3 linked regions of the Arabidopsis thaliana genome follow. The protein of the gene in region 2 interacts with the protein of the main gene of each other region in a biochemical or structural test. Each region holds a gene or a part of one and is shown on either strand. Other genes may lie near its edges. The genes, in order: CDKB2;1, CYCD3;1 and ICK1.

What was found.
Region 1: the proteins of CYCD3;1 (region 2) and CDKB2;1 form a complex in vitro, tested with the Arabidopsis thaliana proteins (one study listed by BioGRID).
Region 3: the proteins of CYCD3;1 (region 2) and ICK1 form a complex in vitro, tested with the Arabidopsis thaliana proteins (one study listed by BioGRID).

The regions. Positions count from the first base shown.
Region 1 is NC_003070.9:28,716,781-28,727,195, forward strand, and holds CDKB2;1 (cyclin-dependent kinase B2;1), read right to left. Parts: upstream 5,771-10,415; 5' UTR 5,572-5,770; coding exon 5,345-5,571; intron 5,051-5,344; coding exon 4,909-5,050; intron 4,818-4,908; coding exon 4,756-4,817; intron 4,643-4,755; coding exon 4,531-4,642; intron 4,440-4,530; coding exon 4,346-4,439; intron 4,246-4,345; coding exon 4,176-4,245; intron 4,088-4,175; coding exon 3,949-4,087; intron 3,870-3,948; coding exon 3,774-3,869; 3' UTR 3,548-3,773; downstream 1-3,547. Other genes in the region: AT1G76520 (Auxin efflux carrier family protein), read left to right, coding at 60-298, 385-509; AT1G76530 (Auxin efflux carrier family protein), read left to right, coding at 1,627-1,761, 1,837-1,916, 1,989-2,113, 2,207-2,328, 2,360-2,572, 2,650-2,742, 2,834-2,934, 3,035-3,288 and 1 more; AT1G76550 (Phosphofructokinase family protein), read right to left, coding at 6,120-6,414, 6,498-6,601, 6,713-6,829, 6,910-7,014, 7,125-7,181, 7,259-7,303, 7,398-7,508, 7,620-7,693 and 10 more.
Region 2 is NC_003075.7:16,352,696-16,363,035, forward strand, and holds CYCD3;1 (CYCLIN D3;1), read left to right. Parts: upstream 1-4,725; 5' UTR 4,726-5,207; coding exon 5,208-5,681; intron 5,682-5,770; coding exon 5,771-5,972; intron 5,973-6,081; coding exon 6,082-6,212; intron 6,213-6,285; coding exon 6,286-6,609; 3' UTR 6,610-6,870; downstream 6,871-10,340. Other genes in the region: AT4G34140 (D111/G-patch domain-containing protein), read left to right, coding at 70-278, 378-467, 572-664, 916-1,137, 1,223-1,327; AT4G34150 (Calcium-dependent lipid-binding (CaLB domain) family protein), read left to right, coding at 2,340-2,385, 2,492-2,596, 2,704-2,830, 2,922-2,993, 3,683-3,728, 3,814-4,123, 4,223-4,260. UniProt on the Arabidopsis thaliana protein: Involved in the control of the cell cycle at the G1/S (start) transition. Activates the G1/S phase transition in response to cytokinin hormone signal, but declines in response to sucrose starvation leading to G1 arrest.
Region 3 is NC_003071.7:9,973,854-9,983,228, reverse strand, and holds ICK1 (Cyclin-dependent kinase inhibitor family protein), read left to right. Parts: upstream 1-5,138; 5' UTR 5,139-5,307; coding exon 5,308-5,505; intron 5,506-5,598; coding exon 5,599-5,642; intron 5,643-5,760; coding exon 5,761-6,027; intron 6,028-6,142; coding exon 6,143-6,209; 3' UTR 6,210-6,639; downstream 6,640-9,375. Other genes in the region: AT2G23440 (uncharacterized protein), read right to left, coding at 3,499-3,747; NAPRT2 (nicotinate phosphoribosyltransferase 2), read right to left, coding at 8,320-8,397, 8,476-8,588, 8,665-8,773, 8,857-8,955, 9,041-9,175, 9,259-9,375. UniProt on the Arabidopsis thaliana protein: Binds and inhibits CYCD2-1/CDKA-1 kinase complex activity. Regulates cell division which is crucial for plant growth, development and morphogenesis. Functions in turning cells from a mitotic to an endoreplicating cell cycle mode.

The sequences.
Region 1 (10,415 bases), on a different chromosome or scaffold from region 2:
GAAAAACGTAACTCACTCATTCGAAAGCTTCTTATGTGTCTTGTTTCTTTTGGCTGAAGAGATGGGGCAGTTCCTGCAATGACCATGATTATAGGAGGAAACCTACTCAAAGGTTTGAGGAGTTCAGGAATGAAAATGTCCAGTATTATCGGCGTCTTGGTTGCGCGTTACGTTTTACTGCCTATGAGCGGTGTTTTAATCGTAAGAGGAGCATATAAGTTGGATTTAGTTACATCAGAGCCCTTATACCAATTCGTTCTTCTTCTTCAATATGCTGTCCCACCAGCCATGAATCTAGGTTCATTGCTCTGAAACCAACTCTTTAAAAAATACAGTTACTTCTTTCAGATAAGATCACTTCATTAGTTTCACTTACTCTTGCAGGTACAATTACTCAGTTATTTGGAACTGGGGAGAGTGAATGCTCAGTGATTATGCTCTGGACTTACTCTTTGGCTTCGATTGCACTCACTGTTTGGCCAACATTCTTCATGTGGCTTGTAGCTTAGAATAGACCCCCATACTCATCATGTTACATGTATTGTTTTGTTCCATTGATTCAAGAATTGTTCTTGGACTTCCAGATGATTGGATCAAGTATAATAGAGAACATATACTTATAAGTCTTTTGATACGAACTTTGGACTTACAGTCTGTAACTTACAGATAGAAGATCAAGTCCAGCCTCATCAAGAATCTGCTATTTTGATCCTCATTGTCTTGGGATCCATCAAGAGATTGTGAGGCTTAAAATCTCTGTTATGATACCCAAATCATTCTCTCTTGAAACAGGGTAAAACCAGAGAACAATCTACTTGACTACTTGTGACTGTGGCCATGGCAGAAAGCTATTCCTTTGTTTAGTTTGGTACACCTGAGAAAAATTTCAGATTGTTACATTTGGTTTAATAGACTATTACATATCAGTCAAGTGAGTACAAATGATGAGAGAAAAGAGTGGTGACAAAAAGCTCTAATTGGTGGATTTTGTGATAAATTTCTTTACATCTGTGTCCATGTATCTCAAACCTAATCGTACTCTAAGATCAATTAATGTCTCATCACGTCATATTTGAGATTTTGATGTATAACCTTCCACATCAGGGCTAAAGTGCATGCTAGACTCCAAGATATACTATATGTAATATATAAATTTGTAGCTAGTGAAACTGTGGAAAAACAAAAATTATAGTACTGAAACATTTTAGTTTATGAAACGATTCTTCAGAAAATAGATGACAACAACAGAAGTTTTTTTAAAATCAACGTTATTGTTCTTTACCATACGGTAAACACAATGCGACATATCCACATCTTCAGCAAGAACCACAAAGTAACATGGCACGTTTCCTAGTCGCTGTGACTAAAGGCATGACGATGGTTCCCTTATAATTTGTATTCTTTTTTTCTCAGATAAAGAGTTGGTGGTTATGATACGTTGGTTTTTTCATACGGAACAAAAATAATACTTACTCTATATCTCTCCTTCACTCTTCCTCTAAAAAGGTAACTATACCATTTCATTTGATTTCTCCATAAGTTATCGTCGTTTGGTTCATTGTTTCTTTATCTCAAATCATGTAATATATGGATTAAGTTTGCAGATTCTAACTTTTGGAAGTAGAGATGAAGCTTTTGGAGTTGTTCATAGCTTCATCGAAACCAGTTGTGGAGACTTTGTTGATAACATCAGTTGGATTTTATTTGGCTCTCGACACAGTCAATCTTCTTGGTCATGATGCTCGCAAACATTTGAACAACGTCCGTTTTTTAACTCTCTTCTTTAACAAATAATCTAAAAGAGTTAACTTAAATTTCTCTTTTGTTTGTGTATAGATTGTCTTCTATGTGTTTAGTCCTTCGCTTATTGGAAGCCGCTTAGCTGATAGTGTTACATATGAAAGCTTGGTCAAAATGTAAGTCAATATCAAATTTTGCATCATCTTTAAGCTCACTTGTTATAATGAAAATGAGGATTTGCATTGCAGGTGGTTTATGCCGGTTAATGTTCTGCTCACATTCATGATTGGTTCGTTACTCGGCTGGATTGTTATTGTCATAACTAAGCCTCCTTCACAGCTTCGTGGTCTCATCATTAGTTGTTGTGCTTCTGGTACAAACCTTGACATGATTTTAGAATCTTTTTGTCTTTCTTTGTATCGTATGTTTTGCTTATGAATGTGATGATGAATGAAACCAAAAACAGGGAATTTGGGGACTATGCCTCTCATTATAATCCCAGCCATTTGCAAGGAGAAAGGAGGTCCCTTTGGAGATTCTGAGAGTTGCGAGAAATACGGAATGGGTTATGTTACACTGTCCATGACTGTTAGTTCTTCCTCTCTTGTCTCTCTTCAAGGCTTTTTTTATCAGTGTGTATAAACATGACACTAATTGGTATGTATCAGGCGGGAACGGTTTACTCATGGACTTATATATAAATCTTATGCGTGTGCTATCAAACTCTCCCGTTGAAACACACACACACTCTATTGAATCCAACTATGATGACAGCTGCAAAGTCCAACTAATTTCTTCCAAGGAAGAAGAAAAAGAAGAAGACAACCATCAGGTCTCATTAATCAACAACTCTTCATCATCATCATCAGTGTTATTCATTTTGGCAGTGACTTTGTGTGTGTTTGACAGGTTGGGAGGTGGGAAGAAGTCAAGCAAAGAGTTGTTTCTCTGTCAAAGAAAGTCAACCTTGGGTCAATATTTGCTCCAGCAACTATTGCTGCAGTTTGTGTTTCAGTGGCACCTTTTTTATATACATTCAAGACATTCACACTAGTGTATATCTTTCTTATCTCTTCTTCTTCTGTTTTCTCAGATTATCGCGCTTGTGATTGGGCTTATTACTCCTTTAAGGAACCTAATAATCGGCACCGTAGCTCCTTTCCGTGTGATTCAAGACTCATTAACCCTATTGGGGTAATTGTAGAATAGTCTCATTATCTTAGAAGTAGCTCAACAAATGATTCATCTCTTTGAAAAACTCACTTTTTCTGTGTCTTGTTTCTTTTGGCTAAAGAGATGGGGCCATTCCTGCTATGACCCTGATTCTTGGAGGAAACTTACTTAAAGGAATGAGGAGGTCGGAAGTGAGGAGTTCAGAAATGAAAAACTCCTGCATTATCGGCGTCTTGGTAGCTCGTTACATTTTGCTACCTGTAAGCGGTGTTTTACTCGTGAGAGGAGCATACAAGTTGGATTTAGTAACCTCAGAACCCTTGTACCAATTCGTTCTTCTTCTTCAGTATGCTGTCCCACCAGCCATGAATCTAGGTGCATGGCTTGAAACCAACTCCTTAAAATACAGTTACTTCTTTCAGATAAGATACATCACTAGTTTCCCTTACTTTTCAGGTACAAAGACCCAATTATTCGGCGCTGGGGAGAGTGAATGCTCTGTGATTATGCTTTGGACTTACTCTTTGGCTGCAGTTTCACTCACTGTTTGGCCAACATTCTTCATGTGGCTTGTGACATAAATCCCCACACTCGATCTTGTTATATGTATCCATTTATTCAAGAACTTATTCTTAGACTTCCAGATGACTGGATCATTATAATTGCGAATAGTCTTAAGAACATTAAAGCCGTTAATCCAAATATTCGAATAGAAAGAAACAACAATCAGAAGTGATATATTATGCTAAAGAAAGGATGATTCATAGAGGGGGAAGCAGCACACTAGAGATATGCTTGAAAGAAGCAAAACTAGAAAAACCATAAAACTTGGAAAGATACTAACTGAAGATTTTAAATCCTTAGAGAGAGGACTTTTCTGGCAGATCATCAAAGTAAGGATGCTCCATAGCCATCTTTGCTGAGATTCGTTTCGCTGGCTCGTACTGCAGCATTTTCTGTTCCAGGAAGATAAAAACGCAATTAGTTCGTCTGTTGAGTTTGTTTTGGTAGCTAGTTAATAAACTTTAGACTTACAGATAGAAGATCAACTCCAGCCTCGTCGAGGTTTGGAACAGCAGAGGATAGAGTCGATGGTTTCCACTGTGGGTATTCATGCCAGTTCTTGAGTGTGCTCACTCCTGGCCACATTTCTTCATTGGGTGTCCCAAACAACCTGAGTTGTACACCGGAAAGAGCGGCAAAATGAAAAAAGGTTTTCTTATGTTTGTCATGTAAAAGGTGAAGAATCAACAAAGACTTACTTGAAAATATGGAGGAGCTGTTGGAGCTCAGAGTCTCCCTGAAAGATTGCTTGGTTGGTCACAAGTTCAGCTGTAAATGGTGAAGGAACAATGTTAATTGTTGTTGTTTAGTAACTTAAGATGATATCGCAGTGACTAGTGAAATCAACGAGTCTGAAAAGAACACATACCAAATATGCAGCCAACAGACCACATATCCACAGCTGTAGAGTAATGGGTGGCACCAAGAAGAACCTCTGGAGCTCTATACCAAAGAGTTAATATCTGTTGCAATGAACAACCGATTCAAAACCATAAGTTCTACAATACATACAAAGTGGGATAAGTGCAAGAAGCAGTGTCAAACATTGATTACCTCATGGGTATACTTCTTCATTGGCAGAGTGAAGGCTCTGGCTAAACCAAGATCTGCTATTTTGAGCCTCATTGTCTTGGGATCCATCAAGAGATTGTGAGGCTTGAGATCTCTGTTTTGAAACAAGGAGAAATAGTAAGAAGAAGAAATCTCTCTTCCAAGTTATTATCTAAAATCATTCTCACTTAGAAGTTGAAAACAAGGGAAAGCCAGAGAACAATTCACCTGTGCAATATCCCGTGACCATGGCAGAATGCCATACCTTTGCATAGTTGATACATCAAGCTCTGCAAATAACTTTTCAGAATGTTATGTTTGGTTCAAGTGAGCACAAATGAAGCGAGAAAGAGAGATGACAGTAATAAGGTGGTTAAAAACCTTGATAGTTTGGGTTGGAATGTTCTTGCCAGTGCTACGGAAACTTCTGATGAATTTCTTGACATCAGTGTCCATGTATTCAAAAACCAGGTACAGTACAGTTTTGCCTTCTTTGCTTAGTCCTTGCTTAACATCCATTAACCTGAAAAAGATGACAAATAAAGTTTCCGTATATAATTGATTTTGCAATCACTGGAAAACTAACTGATACAGCGATCCAGATCAAACTCTAGGGAAACATCTATCAACAGTTTCTCAGAGCCAAATCATCTAACAATTAGTAGACTCTTCGAACTGATTACTACGATTTGAAATTGAGATCTATCTAATCTGGAAAACAAGCGAGATAGTGAGAAATCGACTATATAAACCCTAACGCGACTACAAGATCGAGAATATGGGGGCAATTTTATCGAATCAGAGGTAAAACCCTAACCTGACGACGTGAGGATCACGAGCGAGCATTCGCAAAATGGAGATCTCGCGGAGAGTGGTGGAAGGAACGCCTTCTTCGTCCTCATGGAGACGCGTCTTCTTTAGAGCGACGATTTTCCCGGTAGCTTTCTCTCTGGCTCTGTAAACTTTCCCGTATGTCCCTTCACCAACTTTCTCAAGCTTCTCGAAAGCATCCATGGCGGAAACTGCTATAACTCCCTCGTCCATCGCTCTCTAAAATTCTTCTTCTCCGGCGCTCTCTCTCTCTCAGTTGGTTCTTATTGGGAAAGTGAATTGTCGGAGATCAAAGTGTAGATAGGTTATATAATTAAATGAGACCTGAAATTATAGAATCCTTATTCTTGGGCTTTCACAACGGACTGATTTTTCGAAATTCAAACTGGAGCGTGGAGGAGCGGTCTTTTCATAAACGCCTTTTTTTAATTTGCCACGTACTATAGTATTTAATTTTAATTTTTACATTTATTCATTTGTGTCCACTTGTCATATATATCCGTAGGTACTTTGATTTGGTCGCACCATATACAAATTATGATCGAGAAGGCAACAAGAAGATTAGTGAACCCAAACACAGACTTCTTCATTAAAAAAGCATTACTCAAATCCTTTAACTTTGAATATCCTTTTCCTAAACTCAACTTTGAACAATAAAGTTTGCGTAAATCAGAAGACGACTTCAAAATGGAAAGAGAGAGAGAGAGAGAGAGCTAATGAAGTTTATGGTTAAAGGGAAAACCAAAACAATAAAAAAATCTTTAAGCAAATTGCTGACCGCTGGTGGAAGAAGATGAGATCGTAGTGAGAACATCAGTCACCGAGGCCATAACACTCAATGCCGCTTTCAAAACATCTTGAGAGCAACCCGGTTTCACAATCGTCCTCACCTGATCAAGATACTCCTGCAGCTTCTTGATTTTCCCCATGTAATCCTGGTCTTCTACACACAGACTTACCGCCTTTGCATCTGCACCTGGACCATCATACTGGACTGGTCCTGGGTTTCGGTACATATCTTCCATCAAGAATTTCTGCGCGTTTTGTCTCAATAGACTGCAAAATCATTTGACAAATTATATCACTTGATTTCATGTTCATTCTAATCTTTGTCTAATGAGTGAGGAACAAAAGCTTACTCGTATGCTTTTCCTTTCAAGTCAACTGAAGCTGGATGAATTACAGGTCTACCAATCGTAGTAGAACCAGAATTTTGGGACCAACGCTTAACCGTCATCATTGCCTAAGGTTAAACAGAGAAAGAGATTGGGGTCAGTAAAACTGAAACTTGAAGTCAGAAATCAACACATATACTAAACAACTTTAGCCTTATAAATAAGAGACAAAACTCAACTGAGATAGGCGCAGCCCCGCATTTCCATTTGTTTACAGGACTCTTCAGGTTAGTCACTGTCGCCATGTAACCATTCAAACCAGCTGCGAGGATGTGGTAACATACATGTCCAAGAACCTGCATCAAAGTTATAATCAATGGTGTGAATGTCCATAATATTGAAGTTGCAATAGCATTTTAGTTTGGCGATCACATACATAGGCGTAGTCACAATCGAATTTTGATGGAAGAGATCCACGAGCTTGGTAACCAAAAAAGTGACAGATAGCGTTGAATTTCTTCCCTTTGTAGGTTCCTTCTTTCTGTCATTTTCAAAACTTAGTTTTAGGGACAACTTGAATATTCAGGCAAGGTTATTCAAAAAAATTTGAAAAAAATGGATTGTGACAAGTGAAAAAGATGTGCAACATACCAAGCGCTTGTTCATTTCAGTCTCCACAAGATAAGCCAGAAGTTTCTCCGTCTCAATCTAAGAAGAAAGTAAATGAGCAATTAGAATTCCAACTTTTTATAGCACAGTAACTCCATCATTTTCTTTCTTCTTACCTGGGATAGCTGAGCAGAATCATCAGACTCGGGATGGAGAAGTAGCTGCAGAAACAAAGAAGACAATTTATCATAAGAACACATACTCGTTTACATGTGAGAAAAAACAAAGAAAAGTACCATGTCAAAGAATTAGAACCTGTTTCTTAATGAATGGAGGCAAAAACTCAAACAAAGCAGATGACCAAGATGACAACTGAGTAGAAATATTATCAACCTGCACACCCTCCTTAAGCAATCCATGAATTTCCTGCATCGCACAACAACATGTAAATGCTTACTATGTTTTGGAACTCAAGAAACAATAAAAAATAGCACATTAAATGATAAATAGAAATGTTTGCCAGTATTGAATCGTTACCTTCAACAGAGCATAGAGTTCAGGAATACTCTCAACAAGCCCTTCAGGAATTAGGATGACTCCATGATTTTTGTCTGATACAAATAGACAGTTTATCAATAAAGTTAGGGAACAAGCAAAAGACATCACTTCCAACATACCAAAAGCTCGTTTTAGTTATCAGACCTTGTTCGGCTCTTGCTTGAACAGCATCACAGATTTGTTTTATGATGTCAAATATTGTGAGCTTAGATGCTGTAACCTCCTCACCCAGTATCACCTGAGACAATCGCATCAAATGCAAATGAGAAACTAGATGCAGCATTGCCAAGACTATCGATTGAATATATTCAGAATTTGGAAGAATACCATGTTGGGGTGAGACTGAAGTGTACACTCAAGGGCAACATGTGAATGCTTCCGACCCATGAGACGGACAAAGTAATAATACTGGCAATACGGAGGAAAGTATGTTATTGAGAAGAAAATTTGATAACAGAATCATAAGGAACCCAACTTCGCAATTATCAAACCATAATAAATTTCACATTATTAACCAACAAAATATAGGTTGGTTATGAGTGTCCTAGCAATCTTTCTAAAACATGATAACGTTTGGAAGGAATCAACATTTACCTTCTCTGCTGAAAGGGCATCGGTGCAGATATTGCTAATGAGCTGAGAATTCACCTGTACACAGTAGAATGATATTAGTCTAAATAACGAGTTAAAATGTTATTAACCTGAAAAGAACGGTGAGCGAAATGAAAGAATGTTGGCTACAATACCTACAAAGTAAAAGAAAAAAAAGCGCTAGATTTCAAAGTTACCTTGCATGTAGTATCGAAACCAACATTTGCTTCCACAAACTGATTCTTAAGATCTCCATTAATAGTGACCGGAACACCAACTACCTGAAACATATTGGTAATTTCTGCTGTTAGCGATATCAGGTGAAGTGCAAATGTCACTAAAGTGATTCATGATACAAGATCAGACAAAGAAAGAGAAAAACTGGGAAGAAATTAGGACCTTTGTTGAGCATTTTGCTTCAGCAAAAAATTCAGCAAGATGAGCGGCATCTGTGTTTGATGTTACACCTAACAAATAAAAACATTGATTTAGAAAATTCTGGGATGAACTTAAAAAATCATATTTACACAAGTTAAGAACAAAACATCTACTAAAACAGACACCCGAAAAAGAGGAAAAGTAGGTACCTCCAATGATAACTAGGCTATCCAATTTCAAATCCGTGCATGCTTTTAGTGCAGCATTGACCTGTTCGGTTGTTCTAATCTGATCCTTGGTTCTTCCAAGCATATCATAGCCACCTAATACGACATACATTTAAATGCCATATGTCAGAAAGCAGCAGAGATAAAGTTCTGAATAATCTTAATCAAACCACCAACCACCAACCTTGGTTTTTGTAAGTTTGGAGGACCTCATCAGTGATCTCCAGGGTCTTCTGGGCAAAGAGACCTTCAGAACCACCTGTTACAGGTAGCCAAAGTTTCATATTAATGACCAGGCACACATCAATACGGAAGTAAGATGTGACTTTATAGTAAGCAAACAATGAAGTTACAGAAATAAGAAAACCAACTAACAGATAAAAAACAGGGACTTACCCAAAAATCCAAGCAAAGTGTTCTTCGCGTTGTGCACTTTGAGAGCCTCGTATAGACCCCAAACTACATTGTGCCCACCAGGAGCCTGCCTTCCACAGAACACAATTCCGACCCTACAATAGAAAACAACTAGCTCTAACCAACAACAAAACCACAGAACAAGAAATTCCAGAGATCTATAAATATGCAGATGCATGCACACCTCTTCACTGGATGTTCAGTAATGATCTGAGCATCAGCAACTTTAGCAGTTGCCCTGAGGAAATGAGCCAAAGGCTGGCCTAGAGTATGTGGGAAGGCACGGGCAATGATATGAGCATCACCAGCCTTTGCCACAGTGGTTCCATCACCAAGTTCAACACGGACAGTAGTCCCCTGTAATGTACATTGAATCAATAACGAATTAAACTACGAATCATCCAACCAAAAAAAAAACTACGATTCAATCACTGTTCCAGAAAATCACTCCATCATGGTAGTTCACGTTGAAAGGCAATTCTACCTACCACACTAAACTGAAATGTTAAATCAGACGAGTAAGTATAAAAGGATCATAAACCCTAGATCCCGATTATAATAACAGTGTAAACAGATCTGCATGAACGGAAACAACATTGCAAGTTCCTCGAGTAGACAATCAAAATAAACAGCTCGAAGGGATTCAAAATATTCGCGACGTGACGAAATTGTGAGAAAACGAAACAGCAGAAGAGATGATATCAATGAAAAACATAGAGATCCAAACATTGGAGACAGTGAACGAGAGAAGGAAGCAAGAGATCTAAGGAAGATACGAATATACAAATAAAAGGAAGAAGGAGAAGTACCTGGAGACAAGGAGGAAGCTCAGGGTGGTACTGAGATCGGAGTTGTTGAAGAGGAGAGAGTTCTCTGGGGATTCCGAAATCTGAATCCATGGGCGATAACTTTTTAGGTTTTTGTGAGAAATTAGGTTGGTGAGAGTGTCAGAGAGACTCAGAGAAGATTCAGAGAAAGTTTTTTCCTTTGGCCCGTCAAAAGTATTTATATAGTATGCGGGGGACTTGGGCGATACGATCAACCAAACAGCCAAAATTTGGTCTTCTTCTTTTTTTTCTTTCAGTCCACGCTTTTTCTCGATCAGCCCTTGTTATTCTGGTTATTTACGAAAATGCCATTGGATATAAATATATACCCTTACCTT
Region 2 (10,340 bases):
TAACCTGGTGTGCTCTGTTATATGGGGAAACGTAGAAAACGAATTTGATTTTCAAATGATTTATTCCAGGTCAGGTCTATAAACTTCGAAATCCTAGTGCCAAATACCTTGCATCCTTGTCAGTATATGACGCCTCCAACCCAACAAAAGATTGGGAATTCCCTGATATTTCAACTGAATGGCAAAATCCTGATACAAAACGCAAAGCCAAGAAGGGGAAACCAAAAAGGGCCAGCAAACTTACAGTGAAGCCTAGTGAAGTAGACATGATTGAAGAGGTACTCCAAATCCACCTTCATGGCTGAATTCTTGTATTTTATGTTTGAAAATGTTTGTGAAGGATGTAAACACCTCTTGAGATTCTGTCAAATATCTAGCAGAAGACAAAACGCAAAGCTAAGAAGGTAAAACCAAAAGCTGACTGCAAACTTACGGTGAAGCCTTGTGAAGTCGACATGTTTGAAGAGGTACTGCAAATCCATCTTCATGGCTGAATTCTTCTATTTTTTGTTTCAAACTGTTTGTGAAGGATATTAACACCCTGCTTCTTGAATTTTTGCCAAATATCTAGCAAGAGACAAAACGCGAAGCTAAGAAGGTGAAACCAAAAACTGACTGCAAACTCACAGTGAAGCCACGAGATGAAGTCAACATGATTGAAGAGGTACTCGGACCTCACCTTCATGGCTGGATTCTTGTATTTTATGTTTCAGAATGTTTGTGAAGGATGTAAACATCCTGCTGCTTGAACTTCTGCACAATATCTAGCAGGAGACATTTTTCTAAAGCTCTGTGTATGGGGAAATTCAGTGAGAAACTTAAATCTGTTAAGAGTATTTCGAAGGCATAGTTTAGTGTTATTAGAACCCTAGTAAGCTAGTATTTTCATTGTTGCTCCTTGTTGTTTATCAGCAGAGAAGCTGTTCATACAGAGATAGAGCCGCTGAGAGAAGAAATTTGCATGGTGGATATGGTGTTGGACCAGGTCAAAAAGGAACAACAGTGGACCATAACACGGACGAGCATTCAGTTCCCGACACTGGTTCTGAAGAGGATACTGTAGCAGAAGCATTGGAGCTATCATTTGGATCTGGAAGTTATGCAAGGAGGATAATGGGAAACATGGGTTGGAAGGAGGTAACTTGTGGATCTTATCACTTGTGAGTTGTGATGTTATTTGGTGTCACCGTAATTTATGATTACTGGGGAAATGCTAATGCAGGGTGAGACGCTAGGGAAGAATACAAAAGGTTTGGTTGAACCGATACAAGCAGTGGGCAACACTGGGAATGTAGGGCTAGGATTTCCTCAAAGGAGAAGGAAATAATATGAGGTACAAGATATTCAGTTTAAGGGACTCTTAGTGTTCATATATTACTTGAGAAATTGAGTTACTATATAAACTTGGATTGGCTTATAACAAGAGAGGTTGCAATAGGTAGCTAAATTTCATCTAGACTTGTAAGAGTTGAGAATCATTTACTTGCTGATTTTGAGAAATAGAATGAGAAATCGAAGTACCAAGCAATAGACAAGTTGGTTTCGATTTTTATTGGACCAAGCAATAGAACTGTATCAAGAAAACAACATATCGGATTTATGGTCCATTTTCTCTTGGTCGACAATTTTTTGAAATGGCGCGACGTTGAACAAAAATTATACGAACAAAGAAAGCTATTTCCAGGTTACTGCCTTTATATTTGGATGACTTGTTCCAAGGGGAAACTTTTTTTTTTTTTGTCTGTCATCTGATGATATTAGAACTTTCAAAGGAACCAAGATGATTGCAACAGCTACACTGTAATCTATAACCATCATGCCATTGGACGCATCCTAGTAAATACATAAGAAAGACACTCCCTTTATTTTGGTCTCCGTTCTTCAGCCACACCTTATAATATCATCCACAAGATAATAAGTGGTGTCTAGCAAATAACAAAGCGAAGCTATATCTATATTTATTTACTTATTGATTGTCGTGAATCTATCTTTAATGGTGACATGCCATAGAATTATCACTATTGTGTGGTTGTGCTTGTAATTGTTTGTAAAAATTTTGATTTTATGAATCAAAGATTATCAACATCTAGACTTTAATAGTTAAGGAAATAATAATATTTAAAAAACGCGTACCTAAATCTAATGAAAAGTCAAAATTACGGTCAACGCCTTACGAGACGCGTCTGGTTCTTGAAAGCAAGTTCTGCGTTATTTCATCATCAATCAAAGTCGCCATTTTATTTTTATTTAAAGTCTCACGTCACGGAATTATCTCTCTGAATTCATCATCTTCATCATTACCTTCTTTTTCTCAATCTCGATTGTTTTCTTCCAAATTCATGTCGATGATGGCGGGTATACAAGGCCAGATTCTCGAGGTCACTGGTTCGTACCTTTCTCACATCCCCAATTCTATTATGTTCTTCAACCTTATCTATGATCCGTTGAAATGTTAACTTTTAAAATTTCTGGGATTCTTTTGATTTGTCAGTTGTTGGGTGCCAGAAATTGAAAGACACGGAATGGTTTTCAAGACAAGATCCATACGTCGTCCTTGAGTATGGTGGCAGAAGTCACCGTACCAGAACCTGCACAGGTTATTTTTAATACCACCTCTTTTATTCATAATTTGTTCAGATCCAGAAAAAATTGAACAAAGTTAAGATCTTTCAATGAATTTGATTGATGGGTTTGTTTTTTCAGATGGTGGAAAGAACGCTGTTTTCCAAGAGAAGTTTATCTTCACTTTGATTGAAGGGCTTAGGGATCTTAAGGTTGCTGTCTGGAATAGCAACACTCTCTCCACTGATGACTTCATTGGCAATGCAACGTATGTGTCACTTCTTATCATTGCCTTGTTATGCTTTTTAATACCCGCTTTGGATTTGGAATTGAGTCTTTTGTTGTTTGGTTGTTATTAGGATTCAATTGCAGAAAGTTCTTTCTCAGGAATACGACGACTGTACCTGGACTTTGCAGAGTAAAACTGGGAGGTAATTACATTGGCTTTACTAGTTTTTGTTCCTTTTCCATTAAGTATCATGTTTGGTAATCTCGATTATTGCATGGTTCACATTTGTCTAGCTGATTTTGGTGCAACTTTTTGATGTGGTTTCTACTATATAGTGCTTGAATATATAGTTTCGCCAGTTGCTTTGCTTTGCTTTGCTTTGTTCTTGTCATTTACTTACAGTGCTGACATGGTTTTGCTCACTGATCAGAGTCGTTATGTGTGTTTTTGTGTCCTAAATTGTTAATCTGTGTGAACTACTTGTTCGAATGTTCTGTTTCTACATTGAGCACACTCACAATTGATGTAGCATTTTGATTAGGTTTCTCTGGAACTTATGAAAGATAACTAGACATTTTGACATAAATGGAGCTTCTATTGTCTGTTGTTAGGTTACCTCAGTAAAGAGATGTGAAGTTGCGTTTAAACATTGTAGCATCAAATTAGAATTTCTTAAAACTGGTCTCTTGAGGTATTCCATTTTTGTTTTTGAAAAAGAGAAAGTTATGTGTTTTTTAATCCATGGCTATGTGTTTTGTTTTCTTAAATTCCTGGAAAATCGGTTACAATGTGCCAAGATTTTGGTAGCTTGTCCTCAGCGATTGCTCCTTGTAAAAGATTACTTTTTTGATTAAAAGCCTTGTGAAAAACATCAACCTTTCTGTCTTGTAGATTCGCTGGAGAAGTACAACTCCTACTGCATTATGCGGGAGCAAAGGTAAGTCGAGCCTCAATTAGCAACATTGGTTAACATGTTCCATTATAAACAAAAGGCTAAACACACAATCCACTCTTGTATGCAGAAACATAATTACGGGTCTGCGCCATCAGCACCGTATGCACCTCACGTACCTCAATACTCAGCACCGCCTTCTGCATCTCCGTATTCAACAGCACCACCATACTCTGGACCATCTCTATACCCACAAGTACAACAATACCCTCAGCCATCAGGATACCCTCCAGCTTCAGGGTATCCTCCTCAGCCATCTGCCTATCCACCTCCCTCAACCTCGGGCTACCCTCCGATCCCTTCAGCTTACCCACCTCCTCCGCCATCCTCAGCTTACCCTCCTCAACCATACCCTCCGCAACCATCATATTACCCACAAGGTACCTTCCTTTCTTTCCTGTTCTATGCTGCAATTGATCGCATTTGCTTGTCTCTAACTATAGTCAGTGGTGGTTGATCTTTTTTCTTCTTGTTTCCAGGTCCATATCCAGGACAATACCCACCTCCTCCATACTAGAGCGTTTGGCGTTTAGAATTTGACGGGAAGTGGTCATGATGTATAGATTATAGTTATGGTGTTTTCTAGAATTTGGCAGACGAATTTCTTTGTTTTGTTTTTTTTATATCATCTTCCTTGTGCTATTGCTAGCGTGATGGTTAATTTTTGAGTTGGTCAGTGAAACTTATTGAGAAGTTTGGATCTTTTCATGTTTAACCAGATCGCAGATTATATTGAATTATTACTCTAAATCCTTGGTTTTGTGTGTTCATCATCCTCTTGAGTTAAAATTATGTTAAAAACAAAAAAAGGTTTTGGTTCTGTCTTTAACTTTAAGAAACGGAACTTATCGGCGTATAATCATCGCACTTGTGATCAGATGCAATTAGAAAAAGGTTATTTGGTCAATGTATAGCAATATCTTTAGGTTCTAACAAAAACATTATTGTTGACAAATAGCCCAAAAGTAGTAGAATTTAGCCGACAGATTTTACTGCACTTTGGTTTCTCGATCTCTACTCCAAATGAGTAAAAAGTGGGTAAAGCGGGAAACAGCAAAAGAAATCACACATTTAATAAAAAATAAAGAAAAAGAAATTCCACATTAAATAATCACAACAAGAAAAACAAATAATATATTAGTAAAAGACAAACGTAAAAACCATCTCTCGGCCTTCTCTCATAAATCAATCTCTCTTCTTATCACTCTCCGAAACCCACTTCCAGCTTTTTCCTCTCTCTTTCTCTCTCTAGTCTCTCTTTTGTAGCTCTCCCCTGCTAAGCTAACCACTGCACGTTTCCATAGAGAGGAAAGATGAGTCTCTCTCCGAGAGATTTTCTCTCTATCATCTTATCTTCTTCCGTGTAATGCTCTGAGCCAAAACCCAATAACTAAATCAACAACAATATAGAAGAGAAGAGAAAGATCTTATCTTTCTTCTCATTCTTGAGTTTAGTCCCCCACAATGGCGATTCGGAAGGAGGAAGAAAGTAGAGAAGAACAGAGCAATTCGTTTCTTCTTGATGCTCTCTACTGCGAAGAAGAGAAATGGGACGATGAAGGAGAAGAAGTTGAAGAAAACTCTTCCTTGTCTTCTTCTTCTTCTCCATTCGTTGTTTTGCAACAAGATTTGTTCTGGGAAGATGAAGATCTGGTTACACTCTTCTCCAAAGAAGAAGAACAAGGACTCAGCTGTCTCGATGATGTTTATCTTTCCACGGATCGAAAAGAAGCTGTTGGTTGGATTCTGAGAGTCAACGCTCATTATGGCTTCTCTACTTTAGCAGCTGTTTTAGCCATAACTTATCTCGATAAGTTCATCTGTAGCTACAGCTTACAGAGAGACAAACCATGGATGCTTCAGCTCGTTTCTGTCGCGTGTCTCTCATTAGCTGCTAAAGTCGAAGAAACCCAAGTCCCTCTTCTTCTAGACTTTCAAGTAAATGATGATACTTGCAATAAATTTCCTTAAAGTTTAAGTCTTTTATCCCTCTGTTCTCATCTCTCTGTTTTTTTGGGGGTTTGCAGGTGGAGGAGACAAAGTATGTGTTTGAAGCAAAAACCATACAGAGAATGGAGCTACTGATTCTGTCTACTCTCGAGTGGAAGATGCATCTCATTACTCCAATTTCGTTCGTAGACCACATTATCAGGAGATTGGGACTTAAGAACAATGCTCACTGGGATTTCCTCAACAAATGCCACCGTCTCCTCCTCTCTGTAATCTCCGGTTCGTAAACGACAAAAAGAAAAAAGCCACTCCATTTCGTTTTACCATCTGCTGAATCTGAGTAATCATCTTACATTCTTGTCTTATCTTCCTCAATTGTCTTTGTCAGATTCAAGATTTGTCGGGTACCTCCCATCAGTAGTTGCCGCAGCTACCATGATGCGAATTATAGAGCAAGTTGATCCCTTTGACCCTCTTTCATACCAAACTAATCTCCTCGGTGTCCTTAACTTAACCAAGGTTAGCTTCTCTAATCATCTCTCTACTTGTTTTCACTCAGTCATTTTCTCAAACAACTCTCGTGCATTAACAGGAAAAGGTGAAAACTTGCTACGATCTAATCCTCCAACTACCAGTGGACCGCATCGGTTTACAGATCCAAATCCAATCTTCCAAGAAACGCAAGAGTCACGATTCATCATCATCGTTGAACAGTCCAAGCTGCGTGATTGATGCAAACCCTTTCAATAGCGACGAAAGCTCAAACGATTCGTGGTCAGCGAGTTCGTGCAACCCACCAACGTCGTCGTCGTCCCCGCAGCAACAACCTCCATTGAAGAAGATGAGAGGAGCTGAAGAGAATGAGAAGAAGAAGCCGATTTTGCATCTGCCATGGGCAATCGTAGCCACTCCATAATCGAAAGCTCGATTTCGTTTATATGATATTTACTGTTTTTTTAAACTTTGAGAACAATCTTTGTTGTATTAAGCTTTACCCGTTTGCATATACGAAATGTCGCGAATGCCCTTACGTGCCATGGCTTGATAGAGTTAATGGGTAAAGGGTATTCATGACATTTGACTGCATGGGATGTGACGAAGGAGAGAATTAGAAATAATAATAATAATATTGCGTAAATTTTGAGGCTTGCCCAATCTTTGGGCCGTAATCTCCGGCGTTATTCATATTTTATTAATGTTTTATATTATGAGTAGTAGTATGTTCTAAAATCTGCTTTGCTGAAGGAAATAATAATTACATACATATTCTTTTACTCCTGTAGTTTAGGAAAGAAAAAAACGCATTTAAATCCGTGCTATTTGATAACTACATTTTTTTCGTCCAGAATGGTGGATAATACAAAATTTAAGAAATGAGATGTCACAATGTTTTAATATTTGAATGAGACTGTTGTGTTTATGATCGAAAGTGAAAGATTTAGCGTTTTTAGCTTTGACTTTTGGGAGAAGAGCCAATTGTTGCTGCTTTTTTTGTCAGTCTTTAAATATAATCGCTTTCAAAGATGAATCAATAATTAAAATTTTAAAACGGAAAGACAAAAATGAAAACGTAACACTATATTATTGCTTTAGATTTTTTGTCTAAAGTCTTGTCAAAACCTGCTCTACACTATATTATTGCGTATCAAATAACTAACTACACATGAACATGTAAGTTGTCGAAAATAACAACATATAATTATAAATGTTTTTAAAAATCAAACAGCGAAACTTAAATCAAATCTACAGAGTGTAGATCTTTCGTTGACCAGTAGATAAATTAACTGCGACAGACAGACACAGGACAAGAAGGAGGAAGTGAAGTAAACGCGCCATATATAGGTGAGTGTTGTTCGACGACGATAAAAATGTGGTGCAGCATTAGTAACAACACCAGAACCAAAGTAACCTGCTTCCACTCTGAGCACCTGGGATTAAGACACGTGGCAAAAAGTATCCAGCGTTACTATTCTTTTTTTCTTTTAATAACATCAAATAATCGTCAATTAATTACGAAAATTGAAGATATTAAATTTAACAATTTACTATTATAAAATCCCTTTTGTATCACGGAAAAGCTTATATGATAATGCGATTGAATCACGAGAAATTGATTTTTTTTTTTTAAACAAAACTTTAGGTTGTGTGAAAATCTTGGCTCCTTCTTTTACACTTTTTCTTTTCCAATTTTATTTTCTCTTTGGACTTTTTATTTATTTATTTTCTTGGCAATAAAAAAAGAGAATTTAAATCTATAACTTTTTTCACGTGTGACACGAATTTTCTACTTTGGGGGATTCAGATTCATCGTTCTTTTTCCTTTATATTCTCAATTTCATTTCGCTACTTAGAAAAAAAACGAATTGCTTTAGCTGATGTCGTTTCTTAACGCTCAGCCTCACGTCATCAAAGCATTTAAACTCCCCTCGTTCATGTAATCTTACATTAATACGTATGCGTAATGCGTTTATGTATTGTTTAAAACAAAAGATCCGTTCTCTAACTTCAACTAAAAAGTTAACATCCATGCATATGTATTAGAATATCAAATTAAGCACAAATATTAACATGTTAGCAAAAACATGACTCTTTATTTCTACAATATGTATATCGACTTTTAATCACAAGTTTACTGGCTGTAGAAAATAGGTATATTTGTGTATATACGATTGAAAGTGTTCATATATTATATATATGATATGTTTTATTTTTGCCGTTGTTCTTGAGCAACTATATGCTAATATATATAGGAAGAAATAATATATTCTTCTTATTATTCTTATTTTGTATTTTTAAAAATAATATTTTATAATTTGCAGAAGAACGGGAACAATGTGATATATCAAAACTGAACAAATAAAAATACTGAAATTTGAGTAGTTAATCTAATAAAAGAATCTCTAGTGCAAAAACACTGGTTTAAAATTAAACAATTAAGATGATATATCAAAACTTGCATACCAAACTATACAAAAATTATAATCGGCCACATGCATTACTATAATTTTATGATAACATTTGAAAATCTGGAGTAGGGCATGTAGCTACATAATTGATGAAAGGTGAAAAAGGATGTATGTGGAAATCGGGAGGTTTTCAAAATGGGAGACCAAAAAATCTTTGTAGTTATTCGTTTTCTTTTACAAATTTCAAATAATAAATATGTTGTGGAGAATGTGTTTTCTGTCCTTTTTTTTTTTTTTTTTTTTTTGTCTCTTCTAATGGTCTTCTCCTCTTTAAGGTATGTTATCAATATCATGGTACCATACGCATCTCGTGAACCATATAATGACTTGCCATAAATTATTTATTTCCTGAAACAAAGATAAGATGAAAAAGAGATTACTTGCTACGAAGAAAATAAGTTCTTTTAACCAAAAAAAAATTGGTCGAAAAAAAAAATTCTTCACATCTATTTACAGTCTTTACTTTTGGGTATAATATATACTCTTCTGGACCGAATAATTCATTCCCTTCCCATTCCATCCCATCAAATAAATGTGAAACTATTCTTAGTCAGCTTTGAATTTTGGTAGTTTTATTTTTAATTTTTAATTAATAGGTGTTAAAATCGATGCTTTTTTATTGAAGAAAACTCAGTTATTAAAAAAAGAAATCAAAATATATTTGTATTGGTAAAAACAAATGAAAAAAGTTTAGAAAAAATGGGAAAGGAAAACAGCTTGCACCCAACATGGAGAAAGGGCAAAGAGGTCAATGTGTCCCCACAACAATAATTATAGAATATTATTATCATTCTCAATGGCTTTGTGACCTTTATATCTTAAATATTTCTTCTTTTGACCTAGTCTCTTCCCTTTTTACTTCCACTCTTCTTTTTTTCTTTTATTGTAATTTGAAGTGACGAGAATGTGTGTATGGTCAAAATGTTATACCGGGGAGAAGATTACAATACATCAAAATTTGTTACAGAACTGCTGCATATGCTTATCAGTATTCTCTGAGAAATTAAGTAAGTTAAGATAAATCACAAGTAGAGTAAACTGTGGAAACACTTCTAATCTAGCGATTCATCGATATGGTTTAACATTATCTCTTACGATCGATTTACTTCACTAATTAAGTGAATGTCTTTTTTTTTTTTGCTTAATAGTCGAAAAAAGTTTGAAGTATATATAGGTCCATCATCTTTTCGGATCATTATTTTAATCCTCATTTGTTTTATCGGTGTTTGAATTCGTGTTTTTGAAAAACTCTTTCCTCCTGATAGTAAGCAAACTATCAACAGCGATTTAAATGCATCGTTTGTGTATGCACATTTTTTACGTCGTCTCATACCACGCGCTACTTGCCTATTCTATCTATGGCTCTATGCATACGAGTCTCCTTAATTAACGTTGCAACTTGCATGTAGCAATATTTGCTCCATGGTTAAACAAATAAACAATCAGATCAGATAGTCATTCATTGAAAGAATTCGGTGTGTTTATCGCTGTCTCCATCCTCTTCGTTCATATATGTACAATATATTTAACAAATTTTAAATTACAGATTTATTTTATGATACAACATAAATAACTTAAATGTTTAATAGTTTTTTTTTTATAGTGCCATAAATCTTGAGTTTGAATATGATCCAGAGTTTCAAAATTATGTGTCTCATTTAAAACTAAAAGAACTCCAAAA
Region 3 (9,375 bases), on a different chromosome or scaffold from region 2:
GCATGAGACTTGATAAAAATTTGTAAAGAAATAAGCATCAGGTTATAGTCTATTGGATCTTGCATACGGTCGCTGTCCCCTATTGCTTCTTTCAATCGTTTTGGGCCTTTTGTCTTCTCTTTATTATTTTAGACAAAAAACAACAAGTTAATACCATTCTCTTCTCTACAATGAATCTTAAAAAAAAAAATCCATGTAAAAGAAAACGAAACAGAAATTAACTTAATCATAATAATAACCACCCTAAACTAGTAATCAAACATATTTGGATGTAACCACACAAATGAAATAATTAAAAACACTCTCTCTATATTATAAACATATGTATGTATATGTATATATATAATAATGATATTAACAATAATAAAATGGACAATTCATAATACACCTATATATCTCATCTTAGTGTGGGTTTTGTTTTTTATTGGGTTTCTTCTTTTCCAGTAGGATTTATAAGTGCTATTAGGGTGTAATAAAATTGCATTTTAATTGTTTAACCGTGTGCACCTTTAGTTACACTTCATCTATTTTGAGGTGGAATCTAAACATTATTCTAATTAGCTCCTGCCTTTTTGGAAGTCCCTTGAATGGATCCCACTTTAGTTTCTGTACACCACTATTACTTAATGAAAATTTTATTCAGTAGATTAAAATCTTAATGATTATAAGAACAAACCAAAAATAAAGATAAAAAAAAGAATTAGTTGGCTACTCGAAATGAAGAGGAGGCCATAGAAGATGTTTAGTTTTTTTTTGTGAGGCACAGGGATTTCTTCCTGTTTTTTATTAAAAATAAAATGAAAAAATTACACCCGAACATTCCGAGAAACTGTAGTTCCTCGTATGTCGTCATCCACAATCAACGCCACACACGGCGGACAAGCCTTAAAAGTATGAAAGTCTAATGGCAAAGAAAAAGCATAGTTAGCTAACTCATCGACAAGACGGTTAGACTCTCTATACACGTGAGAAATACGGACTATCCAGTCCCTTGAGATAAAGCTATGGCACAACCGTACCAGGAAAGACGACGAATGAAAATCACTTATCCTTGTCTTTAGAAACCCAACCACCAACTCCGAGTCCACCTCTAACTCCAACCGTTCCACTCTCTTCCCCCAAGCAATATAGAGACCGTAATACACTCCCCATAGCTCTGCTAAAGGTGCCGAACATATACCAATATTAAGCGAGAAGATGTTTAGTTTACGATAAGCTCATGCGCCACCAAACAAACTCATAGATTTGTGCATTAAAGTTGATTTGCAAGGCTGTCGTACATCTTCTACCGTTGATTTATTAATCAAAAGAAATTAAAGTGCGAAAACATAATGTAATATTAAAGTATGTATAGTGGAATATATTTGACCCATTTTAATGATATATTTATGCATATAATACAGACTATATTATTAATACAATAATTTGTTTTGTGGGATTTTTTATTTTTACTTTGAAAATTAGTCATACAAATGTAGTTTATATATCATTTTAAAATTGTTTTGCCAGGTTACAAAACATAGATTAATATGTCATTTACTTGATCAAGGCAAGTTTATTTATTAAAACATAGATTATTGTGTCATAATTTAGTTAAGAATACTACTACTATTGACAAATATTGAACCAACAAAAAGAATTCCTGCTAATTACTAAATTATACGAACTCTGAGCGAAATGATAATCCTACTGGTTGTTGAAGCCTACGAAACATTTATAGCTGCTAGACAGAGAATCTTTTGAACACTCCGAATATCACTCACCATCATTGGACTAACGCTTTTTGGTCCAATATAAGGAGAGACCATTCAATTAATAAATCCCATGATATTTGGTTTCTTTTTGTACGGTTAGCTTTTACAAATTTATAGAGAAATACCACATGTATAGCTTACCTACCATTTCAAGCTCAAGTTGTGCATTTCTATAATAGATTAAAGGAGACTAGACCGTTTCATGTAATTTAGTAGAGCTTTATGATCTTGTAAAATTCTCGAGCCCTTAACCTTTTTTAAAATTTGTAAACTTTGTAAAATTTTGTAGTTAAGAATTTTGGTAAGGTTTTAATTTTTTGGCAAGCTCAATAGTAGTATATTAAGTTGAAGTTCTTAAAAAAAATATATTTAAAAATTAAAATATATAAAAACTTAATTATTATTGAACTCATAATATTCAATACATAGATGACATACAAAAAATTAAAACATACATGAAAACATAAAATTTAACTATTAATTTCTGCTAAAAAATTTCCATATATATTCAACCAAATCAAATTCAATTATTGATGTGCTTGTCGATTACGAATTCGAGTTCGAGTTTCCAATATATTCTCGAGATTTGAAGGCATATATGTAGAATAGGTGAAATCCACTTGTGCATTTCTAGTTGATTCCGGTTGTACAAATTCAGAGACATCAAAGTAAGTGTAAGTATCTCGTTCGTTTTCTACTATCATATTATAAATTATTATACATAGTAGAAGAATTAACGGTAAGAAAAAAAATTCGGCTTTAATATTATTCTTCCAACCAACCAAATCATGCCACGTCACCACCACATTTTACTTCAGAGGATCTCTTAGCTTAGAGGGCCTCTAAGCAAAATTGCTCAATTAACATTTAAATTTAATCATTTACAATCTAAGAATCTCCTAATATCTCCCTAATATCCCCCCTTTAATGATACTCTTAGGTTCTTGACTGTCTTAATTATTATTTTGTATGAGAATTGTAAATCAGTATTTTGGAAATATTTTTTATTTTCTTAATTTTTGAAGTAGTAGCTATAAATATATAATTTAGTTAAAAGAAATACAGATTATGTTAATGGATATACATGATTACTTTTTCGTTAATGGAAATATAGCTTCAGTTTTCGTTATTTGTCTCTAAATTCTTAACCATCTTTTACTTGGTATATTGCTTATTTCTCAAATACTAACATCCGTCTAAAACTTTTAACAAACAAACTAAAGTTTTTCAGTGACTAATATTACGTAATACAAACTTTTAGGTTTTTCTCCATGCAAAATAATGTCTGGCTCAAATTTTGAAACGCAGATATGGAATATCTGTACCAAATTATTTCAAAGATAGTTATTCGTTCTACGTACAGATTTTGAAGACATAAACAAGTAATCGAAATTGCTTCTATAGTTCTATTCCTAAATCGGTTTGTGATTAGATCGAGTTACGTATGATTCAGTTCAAGCGAATGACATATCTCGATAGAAAAATTTCTTAGTTCAAGCGAGTGACACATCTCGATAGAAAAATATATGAGAAAATTGGAACCTGATAAAAAAATGTATGTGCTTTTAAAATAAGATGGATTACATCAATCTTAATTTAATCAAATAAATATTATTACAATCACACTTGCAAGAAACTGAATATGACGAAACTGTACGTAAATACATATTCAGAAAAAAAAAGTCACCAGGCCAATCATATTTTCAACATGTAATCACATAGACGATGCTATTGTTCCTCTCCGTTAATTATGTACGGAATGTCCAATACCGGGGCTATGACCAGGTTCCGTAGGTCTGAAGGTATCAACCCCGTGGCTCGGCGGCGACTCAAGTGGCTCAGTCGGAGGTGACGACGACAATACAGAGCCACCAGCTCTGATTTCCTCAGACGTCGTTACGGTGAATTTGGTGAGTTTTCGGCCTTCAATTGAACCAACACTAATAGTCAAAAGAAAGATAAATGCAAAAACGTAAACATTAATCGTCGCCATTACTAGAAAAACCGAGACGAGAATTAGAAAAAAAAAGAAGCTAAATTATAATATTTAGTCGAAGGCGAAAATGTATTATGTATTGATGCATGAAACCTCTTGGACCATCTGATGTATTTATAGGGATGAAATTTTACATAACATGGGCGCAACACTTGAGGAGATAAATTAAATATTTAGGGGGTATTATTGGTTTATGATTTTAAAAGAACTTTAACGATTATGTAAAATCGTTTGTTATTCAATCAAGATTTTTAAAAAGTTTATTAAAGTTCTTTGTTATTAATTTAAGATTTATAAAAAGTTTTCTAATATCTTTATAAATCTAGGGTTATAGATTCATACTTTTTTGTAAAGTGAGTAAAAGTTTTATGTTATTCAATTAAAACAAAAGTCGTCTGCATGACCTTCATGTAAATTTCAGTCCCTTCTTTTGATTGAGAAACTAGGGAATTTTTTGGATTGAAAATTGCTTGGTGAGTTAAGGAGATCTAATCTTGATGCTCACTTTATTGCCAAGAGCGTAACAAAAAATGATCGCCGTTAATCGTATGTAGCAACTAGGTTTTCTTTTTGGTTAAAACAACTTTTTGAGGAAGAAAAAAATGCCTAGTGTAATACTGGTTGATCTAGAATGATTGTCCTTGATCCACATTTTTTTGTATGTTTGGTTGGAAATTATGAAGTATATATTTATCTTTCAGTGAAAAAAAAAATATTTTTAATTTTTAAAGCAAGACATGGTAATTTGAATGCACTCGCCACTCCATTTTGTTCATGCTTTGAGACAAAAACAAAACATAGAAAGGCTGACAAGGCCCATGGGAAGTGATGGAGGCCAAGTTTAGTTCTTAGAAACCTTTACTATATTATGACTTATTAAGCCCAATATATCACGATCGACACGTGCTGTTGACAACTTGACATCAGGCTAAGCAAATACGCAGGGATAACAAAAATATAATTTCTAGTGTCAGTTTTACTTTTACCTTATTTTACTCACAGGTACGTAGTTTTTAGGCTATCCGTAACAATCCACCTATACTATACACATAATCTATATATAGTCTCTATCCAATTCATTTTAAAGTAATATGAACTTTCTAATTTTACCTAAACTATAAAATTCATCCCAACTATACAAAAAGCTTGTCAATTATAATTTAAAACATTTTAAACGGTTTCGCGTAATGGCAAATCTGTGAATTACCAATAGATGAGAGGGTTTTTAAAATAGTTAGTTACACCACAATTATTACGCCTCCCGTTCCGTTAAGTCACCGTTTATAACCGACACGTGTCAATAAAACAAACCATCGGCATAAGTAACTCCATAACATCCAAATAACGGCGCCTCCAGTTTCCCCGTTAAAGATTCCCCGTCACTGTAACGGGACCACTAAAACACGCCATTTCTCTATCACACACAGCACAAAACTCAATCCTGACCGTTCAAAACCAAATTCATCATCTTTCTTTCTTCTTCTTCCTCATCCTCTCAATCATATCTCTCTCTCTCACAGAGATTGTGACTTCACGCACACGTAACCTAAATCGAAGATGGTGAGAAAATATAGAAAAGCTAAAGGAATTGTAGAAGCTGGAGTTTCGTCAACGTATATGCAGCTACGGAGCCGGAGAATTGTTTATGTTAGATCGGAAAAATCAAGCTCTGTCTCCGTCGTCGGTGATAATGGAGTTTCGTCGTCTTGTAGTGGAAGCAATGAATATAAGAAGAAAGAATTAATACATCTGGAGGTTATTTAATGTTGTTGATTCTAGATTCTTGTAACTGTATATGTATCATTTAATGTTAATGTATTTTTTTTTGAAATTTTGAAATTTTTGTAGGAGGAAGATAAAGATGGTGACACTGAAACGTCGACGTATCGACGGTGAGTGTTAAAAAAAAAACTGAAAATGATTTGAATTTTGAAGGTTTTATTATTTTCCCGGTTATTTATTTGACTCTCTCTTCAATAAATTTAGAATCTTGCTTGTGAGTTATTTTAGGGGTACGAAGAGGAAGCTTTTTGAAAATCTGAGAGAGGAGGAGAAAGAAGAATTAAGTAAATCCATGGAGAATTATTCATCGGAATTTGAATCGGCGGTTAAAGAATCGTTAGATTGTTGTTGTAGCGGGAGGAAAACGATGGAGGAGACGGTGACGGCGGAGGAGGAGGAGAAGGCGAAATTGATGACGGAGATGCCAACGGAATCGGAAATTGAAGATTTTTTTGTGGAAGCTGAGAAACAACTCAAAGAAAAATTCAAGAAGAAGTAAGTTTTTATTTTATTTTGTGAGTTTGATTTTTATAGATAATATATTTTTTATTCATAATTTAAAATTGATTTTGAGGTAAAATTAAGAGTGAGTTTATTTTTTTTTAATTAGGTACAATTTCGATTTCGAGAAGGAGAAGCCATTAGAAGGACGTTACGAATGGGTAAAGTTAGAGTGAAGAAGAAGAAGAAGTTTATGGTTTTTTTTTTAACTTTTTAGATTTTAATATTTCAGGGAATAAGTTAATTTTATTTTGTTGATTTGGAAATATAAGATTTGTAGGAGGAATGTTTTTAGAAGTACGAAATTGCACAGAAAAAGAAGAAAGCTTTTTAACAGATTTTAGAGCCCAGAAAAGTCGTGTCTTTTAGCTCTACTTTTACCTCTTCTTCGAATCTTGTGTATCTTTTAGCATATTCTTTAGTACATTTTTATGTTTTTGGTGACTGATAAAATTCTATCCCCACACAGGTACAACCACACTCATTTTTTTGTCTTCTCCGTTTTAATAATATTCAACCAAAAACATCAAATGCATTTTGGTAGATTATCTTACCGCCCTAAACGCTTAAAATTATTTTAGAATTTTATTTCTTACAACGTTTGATATGGATTAAAAAGTACTATGAAATTAGTTATTATTGTTCTACTACTTAAATTAACTAATCGACAATTTCAGTGCAGTTTTTTGTTGAACAAAATCGTACCAACCATGTCAGCTAACCACACCAACTAATTTTTTTGTTTCATATTCAGCACCGAATATGATTGAGCTCGACCAATCAGAATTTCAAGATGATTCTGTTATTCTTAAAGTTTATTGATTAATAACAAATCACAAACATTCTATCACACGAAACTTGGTTTGAAACTTTTCAAAATTTTAATTATAATAATACTAGCATATAATAAAACTTTAGATCTGTAAAGGGCATACTGTACTGGCCCAATGGTTAGAGAATTTTGAGATAATGCCATAAATACATTATTCCAAATGATGCAGGACCATTTTGTAACTAGACAAATTATCCGAAGACTTGGAAACAAAACTCTTTCATGGACCATTTCAGAAAATCTTCAAAACAAATGATCATGGACCATTTTGTATATGTAAGCTTAATTCAGATCACAAACAGGTTAAATGAGGGACTCAAATAAACAAAAACAATTCTTTCATCGAGGGCTGTTTTATTTTCGTGATATTGTTAAGGGAAACTTAAAGATATGTTTGGAATGGCCAAGTCAACTAAATTAACTATTTTTTAAGAAGTCAAACTAAACTTTAGGATTTAAATGACATTTGAAAAGTTCATGTTTTTTTCGTCAACAATATGAAAGTTCATGTTTTCTCAACATTTTTTTCTTTAATCAATCTATTAATTTTCACTAAAGAATTGTTGTTTTGAAAATATGAACGGAGCCAAAAAAAAAAAGAGTATTGGTCCCGACCAGTTTTGTGTATACTATGTGTTTCTTTTATATCAACAAATTTAACTTTCATCCAAGAAAACCCACGCCCATATCGAGTGCCCTGCCCTCGAAGCCATGGCTATTTGGAGACCATAAGAATTCAAAGTTACACTTGTATAACTCTGTTGTATAAGACCAAAACTATCACTTGTTTTTAACCTCAATTTGGATGGATTATCGTCTTGTCATTTTTAGTCATCTTGTATTCTTGTTAAGTGATTTTTCGTTAAGTAATGGTTTCCTTATATTCCATATTTTTTTTTACTGTTTGGTAAGTTTCTGTAATAAAGTTTTACTCCTCATTTACTCTGTTGTATTTTTCTATTCTCATATTCCATAATTCATCTTTTTGGAAATGAATTTTGAATATGTGGTTAGTGACTAGGTCCACCCCAAACGTCCTAGTAACGCCTAAAGAAGTTTTTGAAGAAAGGTAATGTTCTTCAAATCTCTGCTAGAAAAAACTCAATTAACTCAACTGCTTACCAATCCGTTTGCAACAGTAAGTTGTCAACCATATGACGAAACTAAACCTGATCCAAAATCGTTGACTTGAGTAAATGTTTTTACAGTCTCCAGTATGTTTACAGCTGTAAATATAAAATCTTATTGAATCAGTTGAAAACAAAGTTCCAGTGAACGCAGAGAGTTTCTTTCCTCAGTAAGAAAATGAAACTTACTACGACAATGAGAGATCATCAAAATGTTGTAAGAAAAAGAAACTAAAAGTGAAAAAAATGCATATTTGTGATGCTGTGGTATATAAATTATATACATTACACCAAACCAAAACCAGATTCTTCTTTTTGGTTGTTCTGTCACTGCAATTCACCAACAGGTGCTTCGTTTAGCCATAAGAAGTGGATGAAATCGTACAGCTTTGCGCTTACACTAACCTGTAAACCATGAGAGAAAAAAACATTTACACAGATTTCTCAGAAACTGAAAAACATGTTTGTCGGATAAAACCATACCTTATAAGGAGTTGGGTTTAATCTCCTCATATGATCAGGTCGCATGTTTTCGAGCTGTTTGATGCAACGGTCTCTTATCTCTTTCAAAGGCGGTAATACTTCTCTTGCTTCATCTTCATTGGTATAGAGAAACAATAATCAGTGAAAAGCATTGTCATTAATAACTCTACGGTACCGGAAAATCTTTACCTGCACTTCCACGCCAATAACATTTGAGGAGCTCTTCGACACGTTGTGGCACTACATATGCTCTTTTGGATTCGTTGAATGGGTGACGACAAAGTAAACGCTCACCAACCTTTGATATCAAGAAAGATATTATGTAAAAATGCAATAAGGTAATGAGATTAAAATCTTTGAGAGAGTTATCTTTCGTTTTACCTTTGGAGGTGGTTCGTTCTCTCCAGTCATTATATCTACCAGAGGGTAACCTTCTTTGCCGTATAATCTGTAACTTCGCTTTTTACACGGTATTGATACCTAAACGAATCAGAATGATAATCAGATTAAGTGCAATGTGACATTGAATGTTCAGAACACCAAGAGAGAGAGAGAGAGTTTTAACCTTTGTAACATCTTCAGAAAGTTTAATCCGAGGCTGATTGTTTATCTCCACAAGTTTGAAAACGCAACCTAAGGCCGCTTGTGAATAGCAAGTGACCAAGTAGGTCCCGATGCCAAAAGCATCCACCTCATGTCCCTATAGAGATGAAAGAAAAAACACTGCTTAATAATAATCAATCTTTCGGGGGCATGGCATTTGAGAGTGGGTTAGGGAGTCACCTGTTTATTTAAAGCGTCAATCGTCTCTTCATTTAGATCATTACTAGCAGTGACGACCATCTTCCCAAAACCAGGCACTTTTAGTTCTCTCTCTACCGTGCAGAAGAAATTTCTGGC